Linked DNA regions of Sus scrofa. The protein of the gene in region 1 purifies or fractionates together with the protein of each later gene. This does not show direct contact. Links are inferred from orthologs where the notes say so. Each region holds a gene or a part of one and is shown on either strand. Other genes may lie near its edges. The genes, in order: NUP160, NUP43 and NUP133.

The links.
Region 2: the proteins of NUP160 (region 1) and NUP43 purify together in Homo sapiens (affinity purification with mass spectrometry; 5 studies listed by BioGRID and IntAct, counting the BioPlex papers as one, with this or other methods). This does not show direct contact. The link is inferred for Sus scrofa from reciprocal best matches to the Homo sapiens genes NUP160 and NUP43.
Region 3: the proteins of NUP160 (region 1) and NUP133 purify together in Homo sapiens (co-immunoprecipitation; 4 studies listed by BioGRID and IntAct, with this or other methods). This does not show direct contact. The link is inferred for Sus scrofa from reciprocal best matches to the Homo sapiens genes NUP160 and NUP133.

The regions. Positions count from the first base shown.
Region 1 is NC_010444.4:14,885,002-14,888,650, forward strand, and holds part of NUP160 (nuclear pore complex protein Nup160), read left to right. Parts: intron 1-416; coding exon 417-558; intron 559-2,244; coding exon 2,245-2,370; intron 2,371-3,649. UniProt on the Homo sapiens protein: Functions as a component of the nuclear pore complex (NPC). Involved in poly(A)+ RNA transport.
Region 2 is NC_010443.5:16,247,956-16,252,344, forward strand, and holds the start of NUP43 (nucleoporin Nup43), read left to right. Parts: upstream 1-1,563; coding exon 1,564-1,776; exon of another isoform or gene 1,777-3,884; coding exon of another isoform or gene 3,885-3,917; coding exon 3,918-4,004; intron 4,005-4,310; coding exon 4,311-4,389. Other genes in the region: PCMT1 (protein-L-isoaspartate(D-aspartate) O-methyltransferase), read right to left, coding at 1,337-1,565. UniProt on the Homo sapiens protein: Component of the Nup107-160 subcomplex of the nuclear pore complex (NPC). The Nup107-160 subcomplex is required for the assembly of a functional NPC.
Region 3 is NC_010456.5:60,366,867-60,370,515, reverse strand, and holds part of NUP133 (nuclear pore complex protein Nup133), read right to left. Parts: intron 3,518-3,649; coding exon 3,370-3,517; intron 388-3,369; coding exon 240-387; intron 1-239. UniProt on the Homo sapiens protein: Involved in poly(A)+ RNA transport. Involved in nephrogenesis.

The DNA.
Region 1 (3,649 bases):
CCCCTAGCCTGGGAACTTCCATGTGCCTCAGATGCGGCCCTAGAAATCTTTAAAAAATTATTATTAAAATACAGTTTATAAGATAACACTCTAGTCTTCTAAATGAGAATTTCCGTATGATTGCTTGTTCAGGTTTAGAAACTGATCTGAGCCGATTTCCTTATTATTTTAGAAATCTGGAACAAAGACATTAAATGAATTGTATGCTTCAGTTAAAAAACACAAGAATCCAAGTCATTTAGTTTCGAGTACCACTCCTCAGTCACATTGGCCCTAATACTATCTGTCAGTTAGCTAGATTATCAGTTCAGTTGTGAGCTTCTAAAAATGCTCTCCTTTTAAATACATTCTTTGAATGGTATTATCATTGTTCATTAAGAATCTGGAACTCATTAGTCCTTTCTGCTTTTATCAAGTGCTACAGATGAAGCATGGCGACTCTTATCAACTTACCTGGAAAGATACAAAGTCCAGAATAATTTATATCACCACTGTGTCATTAACAAGCTCTTGTCTCATGGAGTGCCTCTGCCTAATTGGCTTATAAACAGTTACAAGGTAAGTGTTCTCTTAACTTGTAGAGAGTGAGAACCTGGTCTTTATCATCCTGAATAACTTTATGAGATGATTAAAAAGGAAAAGACAGAATGATAATTTATGGACACATACTGACTTATGTTCTTAATACCTCAATCTTAGCTAAAAACACTAAGAGCACTTTGCCTCAGTCCCGGTGAAGTACTGGGTGTTTAAAGTTCTCTGGGTTGATTATGTTAATGCAGGCTTGTGTGCTTACTGAACCACAAGCATGCATTTAGAACAATTCGATCTGTGTGACACAGCATTTCCTTTTTTTTTTCTCTTCTGGGGCCGAACCCTCGGCATATGGAGTTTCCCAGCCTAGGGGTCTAATCGGAGCTATAGCCGCTGGTCTGCGCCAGAGCCACAGCAACTCGGGATCCAAACCACATCTTCGACCTACACCACAGCTCACAGCAAAACCAGATCCTTAACCCACTGAGCAAGGCCAGGGATCGAACCCACAACCTCATAGTTCCTAGTCGGATTCGTTAACCACTGAGCCACAACGGGAACTCTAGCATTTGCTTTTCATTACTCAAAAAATTCACAGGATTGGGTGGAGTAGTTACTACAATAGTGTGTTTCAATTTTTTTTTCAAAATTAGTTTCTTGGGCCACCCATATCAAAATTATTTGGGTGGGAGTTCCCATTGTGGCTCAGCGTTAACGAACCCAACTAGTATCCATGAGGATTCGGGTTCAATCCCTTGCTCGGTGGGTTAAAGATCTGGCATTGCCGTGAGCTGTGGTGTAGGTGGCAGACAGGGCTTGGATCTGTCGTTGCTGTGGCTGTGGCATAGGCCAGCAGCTGTAGGTCCGATTCAACCCCTAGCCTGGGAACTTCCAGTATGCTTTGGTTGTGGCCCTAAAAAGCAAAAAAGAAAGAAAGAAAAATTATTTGGGTGGTGGGCTTCTTCAAAATATAGATGCCTAGGCTTCATCTCAGACTTATAGAATCAAATTATCTGGCATTAGGATCCACAATCTATATCTTAACAAGATCCTAATTTGATTTGATCTGTGACTAAGTGTGAGAACTACTATATCTGAAATATACTGGGCACAATAGGAAAATAATATAAAGCTTACAATCAAAAAATTCTGTTGTTTTTTGAGTTTGAAAGTAGAGAAAGCAACTAAGATGGTAGAGGTTAAGACTGTGATCGAATCAGAATATGGAAAGCATAACTGACATTAATTAGGAGAGCTGTTCCAAACTAAGGCCGTGGTCACTTTCCTTTCCTCTCACCCTGAGTTAAGTACAAATATAATTCAAGCATTTCAAGTTGGTGATTCCTTTAACTTCTTTTGCATTTGTCATTCATATATTGCTGAGAATTAATGTGAATATGTTATCTCCTGTACTCAGCATTTGGGGAAGGGTCGTTGACTTTTTACTACTATGGAAGCTGAAATAGGAAAGAATTAAAATGTGTCTTAGATCCAGACAGGTAGTAAGGCCACTTAACAGAAAGGGGCTTACGAGGTGCCTAGAGGTAACTGGCTCTTGGGAATCCAACCTTCATCCCAAGATAAGTAAACCAAGGCACTTGTTTACTTATCGTGAAAAGTATAAATGCCAGGGAATCAGACAGCATCCTTTGGTCGGTGCCCAGGTAGGATGGAAAAAAGTAAATGTTCTTAATCACTGACTTTTTGCAGAAGGTTGATGCAGCTGAGTTGCTCCGTCTATACTTAAACTACGACCTTTTAGAAGAAGCTGTGGACTTGGTGTCTGAATATGTGGATGCTGTCTTGGGAAAAGGACATCAGTACTTTGGAATTGAGGTAGGCTCGAATACCTGTATGTATTCTGTATTATCACACTGAGTCAAGTCAGGATATGAAAGTAAATTGAACTGTAGAATAATAGGTTTAACCTTTACTGAGGGTAGTTACACAACTAGTTTTCTCCAAGAGCAGGGACTGGCACTCTAAGTATTTCCAGTTTCCTGCTTATCAAAGGGAAATACATCTCATTTTTCTCCTTTAAAGGAATGTGGTTTTAGGTAGTATTTGGAAGAGTGAGGGAAGTAAGAACAAAATGGTATTTTGTGTGTGCTGAAGACTGGGCTGAGTCTGTATTTTCTCACTTAATCCTTATAACAGCCTATAAGGGACTGTTCTTTTTGTTGTTGTTGCCCATGAGGAAAAAGGGACTCAGAGGTCAAGTTGCCAAGGCTCACACAAAAGATAAATTAAAACTCCAGGTGTTGAAGTTCCCTGGAGGCTTAGCGGGTTAAAGATCCATTGTTGTTGTCACTGCTGTGGCACAGGTTTGATCCCTGGAGGGATCCTCCCATGGCCAAAAAAAATCCAGATCTAGTTAACTACAGACCCAAGCTCTTAAACTCTCAGGAAAATATTCAGAACTTCAAATGTTAAACTTAACTTTTTTTTTTTTTTTTTGTCTTTTTGCTATTTCTTAGGCCGCTCCTGCGGCATATGGAGGTTCCCAGGCCTGGGGTTGAATCAGAGCTGTAGCTGCCGGCCTATGCCAGAGCCACAGCAACTCCGGATCCAAGCTGAGTCTGCAACCTACACCACAGCTCACGGCAACGCCAGATCCCTAACCCACTGAGCAAGGCTAGGGATCGAACCCACAACCTCATGGTTCCTCGTCGGATTTATTAACCACTGAGCCACGACGGGAACTCCTAAACTTAACTTTAACAAAGGTTTTTTCCAGATAATTTGAATCTAAATTTCAGACTGGAAATAATATTATTCATTGAGAATTTATAGAAGAGTTTTGTTGAGTGTGTTTATCATTAATCAGCCTTAGGGCTGCTTTAACATCAAAGATGATATGAATTAGAGTTCCCATCGTGGTGCAGCGGAAACGAATCTGACTAGGAACCATGAGGTTGCAGGTTCAATCCCTGGCCTCACTCAGCAGGTCAAGGATCTGGTGTTGCTGTGAGCTGTGGTGTAGGTCGCAGACACGGCTTGGATCTGGCATTGCTGTGGCTGTGGCATAGGCTGGCAGCTACAACTGATTCCACCCCTAGCCTGGGAACCTCCATATGCCAAAGGAGTGGCCCTAAACACACACACACACACACAC
Region 2 (4,389 bases), on another chromosome or scaffold:
TGATTTCCGAGCTTTAAATATTGTAAAAAAAAAAAAAAAAAAAAAAAAGGAAAAAGAAAAAGAAAGTCAAATGACTAATATTAAGTACTAACCATTTGCCAGACAACGCTATTGATTTCTCTCATTAATCTTAGTATTCCCACATATATTTAATTGACATTTACGAAAAAAGGAAAGATTATTAAGTTCTCTGAGAGAACTCAAATACGTTTTTTAAAAAGTCTCAGCCCTCAAGGAGGTTACAAATCGAATTAGGAAACATGACAAACACATGAAAAGCTAAATAATCTATAATATATTATATATATATACATGCATATAATTAAAAATACCACGTGGCAGGATGTGATTATTTGCAAAGTCAGGGGCAAAGAAGTGGGCTACAAATCTGACCAGAGTGAGAGAGTATTACGAACTCTGGTCTTTCTGGTCTCCCGACCAGACGGCGACACTATATTTCGATTTAAAAAAAGAAAGTGACACAGCACTCGTCACCCTAAAATTATCATCAGAGAAAGGAATACAATAACTAAAGAGAATGGTGTAAAGAAACTTCCATACAAAGCTTCTAAAGCATACAGTAGCCCTGGAAAAAGTTAGAACATTCCACATATACAATCCTTTGCTGGATCCCAGTATCTCTAACGGCTCCTGAAATACATGTCTCTCGGGAAGAGCATCCCCTGATGATTTCTTCCTCCGCCCCCCACGAAGCTTTCCCTTGGACAGCCGCCCCAGAAATTTCTCCCAGCATCCGCAATGACAATACTCTCATCTTCCTCTCCCTCCCCTCGCCAGTATCAGACGGTGGCATCTCCCTCCAGAGGAAAAATCAGAGGGCGGGGGAGGCAGAATAGGAGAGAAAGCTTGCAGCTAGGTCGATTACGACAGAGCAGGAGGTGAGAAGACGCGGGGGTCGAGGGCGGGGTCCCCTCAGTTCCAGCCCAGTCTCCAGGAAACCTGGCCAACATCCCACTCCTCAGGACACGCCCCTCGCCGGACCCCGATCAGGGGGGGACGGACTCGAGTGACAGCCCCACCACCTGTGCCTCGCCCCTTCCCCCAGGCCCGCGGGGAGACGCCTGTCCCTACCCCACCAGCAGCGGCCCCTGGGTCTTTCTCTCCGGTTCCCGTCCACGTCCCCGAAGAGTGACAGGTCCCAGGGGAGGCAATCGCAAGCGCTTGCCATTTGGGACCGCTGGTGCAACCCTGCGCCTAAGCCCTCCAACAGGCACGGGGAGGAGGATAGGGACAGAACGTTCCGGGCGGCCCAGGGGGACCTGGTCCAGGCCTGGCCTTCCCCACTTGCCCCACACCGGGCGGGGGTGGCACTTACTGCGGAGGTTGTGGATTAGCTCCGAGTGGCTGGCGCCGCCGGATTTCCAGGCCATCGCTAGGCACACCCGGAGCAGGTACAGAACCACCTTCAGCGCGGCGACGGTGCCCAGCAGCTTCCCCAAGAGTGAGACCACCTCCCACACGGTCACCGCCCCGCTCGCGTCCCCGCTGTGGCCGCCGCTGTGACTGCCGTCGCCGCTGCTGCCGCCACTGCGCGCTCCCGGCATGCCCCGCGGCACGCATGCGCCTTGTGACGCCGCGCGGCCTCGGGTGCGGCCGGGGTGGGGCCGGAGGCGGGGATGGCTTGGTGCCCAGCCGCCCGCGTTAGGTCCCGTTGCGGCTGCCCGGGACTGGCGGGATGGCCCGGCTGAGTCAGCGCCACCGCCTCTGCTGCGTGGCCTTTCTGATGCCGCGGGCTGCGCAACGCCTCTTTGCTGGGTTTGCCCTGCGGCCAGGCGGGCGGGGTGGGCCCCGGCGTGGTCGGTGTCGCGTGCCTCACTACAGCTCTGGTCACCCAGCGCGGTGAAAGGATGGTAGGGCCGATCTGGTTCCGCAGCTGCCGGTGGCTCTGCAGTCGCCGCTGGGTCAGCTGCTGCAAGCGGCGGGGCTGCTCCTATAGCTGTCCAGGTTGTTAGACGGTGGGCTTTCTCCGTCCTGCCTCGCCCAACCCAATGAATGACTAATACATAGGTCAGTTAGATCCAGAGCTCCCTATGGTGGAGCTTGAATAACTGTAATAGAACTGGAAGGAAAAGGTCCTCTCTAACCCAAGTACTCCAGCCTTTGACTTGTGATAAGTAAGTTAGCGTTTGTGAGCAGAGACTTTGGGATCCTAGTTTGTTCTCAGCTGTAGAGCTTGAATTAGAAGAGTGGAAGAATACTGAGACATGGCGTGGGGGGTGGACTGTGGGGAATGCTGTGCTTCTCAGAACTTGTTAAAAATACTACAGTATCCTATGGCAAATGTGTTGTTCTCCCAACACAAGTGTGCATTTTCAGCTATTTAAGCCTCACAAATTCCACCGTTAGACTGGACACCAGCTTTCTTGCTATTAGCTGTGCAAGAGAATGAGTGAAAAGCTGACAAGGAACATTGCCTGTAGCATCCAACTCACTGACTTATAGTCAGAACCGAGAGTGGAAAAATCCAGTCATCATATCACTTAATACAATAAACTTTTAAGGAAGGAAATAAAGCTATGTCAAAACATCAGTGCCACTGTGTCAGCAACAATTTTCAAGCTTCTCACCAGTCCTTGGCAAATGTGACACTTATCTAACCCTAATCTGAAATATGTATTATTTCTTGGGATTCTGCAACAGTAAAGAAAAGTGTACTTCAATACTGGGGGCAAATTTTCAGTTCGGGACTCTAAATTTTCTATTTCATTATTAATTTCTTAATAATCTTGCAGTTAAAAGCAAAACACCAGTCAGTTTTCAATAAGAACCTGATAACTGTCTCCAAAGCTGACCTAGATGGATTGCATTTCCATGCGATGCTTCCACAAACTGGCTGTGAAATAGGACTACCAAGATCAGATAGACACAAAATCATGGCCCCATTTAAAGAAATAACCAACACAGTTATAGCTATAGTATAAAGGAGGTTTGTTTGGTTTTTTTTAAGATGAATATGTCCTATCTTTTGTAATAATAGGATTTACCTTCTAATTGGGGAGGTTTACATTTTTAAAAAAAGCTAGCAACAGGAAGCAAAATGTAAGTGCTCTTAGTGGTCTAGATATTAAGGGATATATTTATTTAGATCGTCTTGGGCTGAAGTAATAGGAAAAAAAAACTAGAGGAAGGAATTAATCCTTGAAAGATAGGGAAGATTCTGAGGCAGAAAGGAATTTTTTTTTAAGGGCGGAGGTAAGCAGTCGACGTTACATTTCAAAATCATCTTTAATTATATGCATAAATGAATTGAGGAAGGCTACAAAGGCAATGAGAGTCAAAATTATAACTGGGGTCTTCAGAATTCCAACTCGTTTGATAGTGTGTATTAAAAACCTTGAAGAGAAGGATTTGTTTGGGGGACAGGGAGAGAGAGGCTTTGAATAATAAATTGGTACGTTAATGGATGTACTTCCATGAGAATATAAGGATTTTGAATCTTTTCTATGCACGGTGAAATTCAAGACTTAATACTTAGGTGTGGCTATTAGAGCTTTTCTCTCGTTGACTCTTTTGCTTTTTGCTTTTTAATTTGTTATGCATTGCACAGTTACTGCAGAAATGCACCGCGTCACTGTTCACATGCTGACTTTGCAGGTTTGGAGCAGATCCTACAGCACGGGGACGGGCACACTCTTGCCTCTGTTCAGAGCCGCCTGGCTGAGGAAGAGCGTCCCAACTTCTTCCCACTTAGGGGCTGCTGGTTCTTTCCCCGCACTGGAGACGGAGGAAAATTGGCCCTCTGTAGCCACCGTCCTCTTGAGGTCCGGTCCAATCAAGGCTTAGCGGAAAGGGGCGGGACTGAGTGGCGCGCGCTGTGCTTCTACCTCTGCTTCTGCCTCTACCTCCCCCGGGTTGCTTTCAGCATGGAGGAAATTTATGCCAAGTTTGTGTCACAGAAAATCAGCAAGACCCGCTGGCGACCGCTATCTTCGGGGAGCCTGCAGACGGCGGAGACCTTCGCCACGGGCTCTTGGGACAATGAGGTACCCCTACTCCCGGGCCCCTGCCTCCTCTCTCCCTCCTAGAACTGCACCCCCGGCTGCCAGCGCGCGAACTCTCTCCGATTCTAGCTTCTCTCGCCCTTCTCTGTCCCCTGAATGCCTGTCTCATGCTCGGTTGCCCAGTATCTCAAAGCCATCGATGGTGTGTGTGTCTGAGTCTCGAATCTCGTTGTGTTTTCAAGGATTATCATCCCATTTGCCTAAAACGATTTTAAAACAAGGTTGATTGAAGGCAATGAAAATTTTAATTTCAGCGAGTTTGACGTGTATTTCGTCTTTGCTTTACAGGAAAATTATGTTTCACTGTGGTCTATTGGAGATTTGGGGAACGTGGACTCTGATGGAGGATTTGAAGGAGACCATCAGT
Region 3 (3,649 bases), on another chromosome or scaffold:
TGGCCTCTTCAGGGAAAAACATTACTATTTTTTGCCCATAAATATAACAGTTTGGGAATTCTACCATCTTTCTGGTTTTTCAGTTGAGCTGCAACATTCGCGACTGCAGACGTGGTACTGAATGTGGCAGTAACACTTAGGGGTATCATGCCTGAAGGAACACTTAGGGAAAGAGAACAAAGACTGCTTGGAATGCCTAATGAGTTCACTAATCCTGGTTCCTCAAACTGCTACCATACCTTGTGTGTTAAAGACAATTTTCTCCCGAGGAAGAGAAAACTTCCCAGTTCCCGTGGAGCACACATAGACAGAGTTTTCACTATACAGATAGGCTGTCTGGTTTGAAAAGTCTGGGACCATCAACCGACACGTAATCAAGTCTTCAGACTGAAAATTAAAGATTTAATGAGAATTGAAACAAAAATACTTGTTTGTATGATCTTATAATTCATCTACCATCTCACAAAAATGGTAATATTCACTAATTATCCTTGTGAAAACCTAAACACTAAGTATAAGATGACTTATAAAACAGAATAAGTTTACGAACATCAATTAGAGAAATCATTTGCTGAGTTGCAAATAATTAGCAAATTTTGAAAACATTTCCAAGGTGATAAGACTTTAACTAAAAGCCTACAGCAAATGTGAGAAAGAAAATAAAGAATTAGTTCATTATTTATTTTAGAATTGACAAATACTTATAAACAACTCCTGATAAACATTTTGTTTCTTTCCTCACTGTCTAGATATCAAGCACAAGAACACTGAGTTAATTTATTCACATATGAAATTTGAAATAGAAATAAGACCTGACTGAATAATAAAAATGACAAAAGCTAAAAAGAATATACTGTTATTAAAAAATTTTTTACATGAGTTCCTGTTGTGGCTCAGCAGTAACAAACCCAACTAGTATCCATGAGGACACAGGTTTGATCCCTGGCCTCACTCAGTGGGTTAAGGATCCAGTGTTGCTGTGAGCTGTGGTGTAGGCTGCAGACACAGCTCGGATCTGGTATTACTGTGGTTGTGGTGTAGGTAGGCAGCTACAGTCCAATTCAACCCCTAGCTTGGGAACTTCCATAGGCCGCAGTTGCAACCCCAAAAAGACAAAAAAAAAAAAAAAATTTTTTTACAAACAAAACATTAAAAGCAGAATCCCATAATTTTTTAATTCTCACATTTTCTTTATACCCTTTGCCTGAAAAATTTTAACACTGAGCATATTTCGCTTATATAGTCAGAGCACATAAGGTTTATTTGTTTCATATAAATGGCCAAATAAAAAGACTTACTTCCTTATAGCATTCAGCCATGAGAGTCATATTAAGAACAAAATTTCTGGATTTGCTGTTGTGGAGCAGCAGGTTAAGAAACTGACTAGTGAAGTTCCCTTTGTGGCTTAGCAGAAATGAATCTGACTAGGAGTTCCAGTCGGGGCCCAGTGGTTAGCGAATCCAACTAAGAACCATGAGGTTGCGGGTTCGGTCCCTGGCCTTGCTCAGTGGGTTAAGGATCTGGCGTTGCCGTGAGCTATGGTGTAGGTTGCAGATGCGGCTCGGACCCCGTGTTGCTGTGCCTCTGGTGTAGGCCAGCAGCTACAGCTCCGATTCGACCCCTAGCCTGGGAACCTCCATATGCCAAAGGAGCAGCCCAAGAAATTGCAAAAAGACAAAAAAGAAAAAAAAAAAAAAAAAAGGAGTTCCCACCGTGGCACAGTGGTTAATGAATCCGACTAGGAACCATGAGGTTGTGGGTTCGGTCCCTGGCCTTGCTGAGCGGGTTAAGGGTCTGGCAGTTGCCGTGAGCTGCGGTGTAGGTCACAGATGTGGCTCAGATCCTATGTTGCCATGGCTGTGGTATAGGCTGGCAGCTGCAGCTCCAATTCCATACGGAGTTCCCAGGCCAGGGATCACATCTGAGCCACAGCTGCAGCATCACTAGATCCTTTAACCCACTGGGCCAGGCCAGGGATTAAACCTGCCTCCTGGAGCTGTAGAAATGCTGCTGATCCCATTGTGCCACAGCAGGAAATCCTATAAATCCACTTCATTTAACTCTGGTTCCGCAGGTTTTTTGGTGTGTTTTGTTTTGTTTTTTTGGCTTTGTAGGGCCACACCCATGGCATATGGAGGTTCCCAGGCTGGTCATATAGAAGCTACAGCTGCTGGCCTACACCACAGCCACAGTAACACAGGATTCGAGCCGAGTCGGTGACCTACACCACAGCTCACGGCAACGCCAGATCCTTAACCCACTGAGTGAGGCCAGGGTTTGAAGCCACAACATCATGGTTCCTAGTCGGATTCATTTCCGATGCACCATAATGGGAACTCCTAATTCTGCAGAATTCTTATTCTTTTTTTCTTTTTAGGGCTGTACCTGCAGCATATGGAAGTTTCCAGGCTAGGGGTCAAATTGGAGCTGCAGAATTAGATACTATACAAAGTTTAATGAAATGAATATTTAGGAGCTCCTGCCGTGGCACAATGGGATCAGCCACAAAAAAAAAAAAAAAAAAAAAAAAAAAAAAAAGAAATGAATTTACAGCATTAAGACCTCTCCTTACGAACATCATAGTTATTAAACAATGTTCAATTGCCATTAAGAAGCTTAAAATTAGAGAGCTTACCTTCTAATTGTTTACATGAACTTTGATGAGTATTTAATGTACTTGCCTCCAATATAATCTCTGAGCAAAAATTGTTTGTTTTTTTTTTTCCCTTTAATTTGCAGGGGTGAAACCAAAGCCCAATTCCTATCAGGTTCCTTCCTTATTTTTCACTCTGCAGTTCATGGTCAGCATTTTCTTTCTACTCAGTGATAAAGAAACAAGAATCCCTTCACAGAGTGGGAGCAGGAGAAACACACTTGCTGCCAGGCGCTCCACTCCCACTTCTCTTTAGCTAATCCAAGGGAAAGGAATGTGTTTAACACGGCAGACAGGATCCAATGCCCCCAAACTAGCAATTTAAAATGTATTTCCGAGCCAGCAGATGAATTTCTCAAAGAATCTGGCCCTGCAACAGTTAGGAAAAATAACTCAGTATGTTATTGTCACTGTGTAATTTCACTTACAGACAGGGAGGTCCCATCGTGGCTCAGTGGAAAAGAATCTGGCTAGCATCTGTAAGGACGCAGCTTCAATCCCTGGCCTCACTCAGTGGGTTAAAGGATCCAGCACTGATATGAGCTGTTGTGTATGCTGAAGACACAGCTTGGATCTGGTGTTGCTGTGACTGTGGCATAGGCTGGCAGCTAGAGCTCTGATTCGACCCCTAGCCTGGGAACCTCCATATGATGCAGGTGCAGCCCTAAAAAGACAAAAACCAAAAACAAAAAAAAACTTACAGACAGATATCTTACCTGAAAAGGTGGATTATACTGAGTGACTTCTACAGTTACTGCATCTGACATTTGGTAGCCATTATCTTCCACTGCTATCAGAGAGTAATAGACGAGACATGGATTGTCTGCTAGGTGCCATGCCGCAGCCAAAATCAGAAGTCCATCACTAATCAGTGAAAAAGAAAGATCTACTGCCTCTTCAGAAAACAGCCTAGCAATTTCTTACAGTTAAATATGCACTTACCATGTAACCTAGCAAACCCACTCCTAGAAGTTTACCCAAGAGAAATAAAAACAT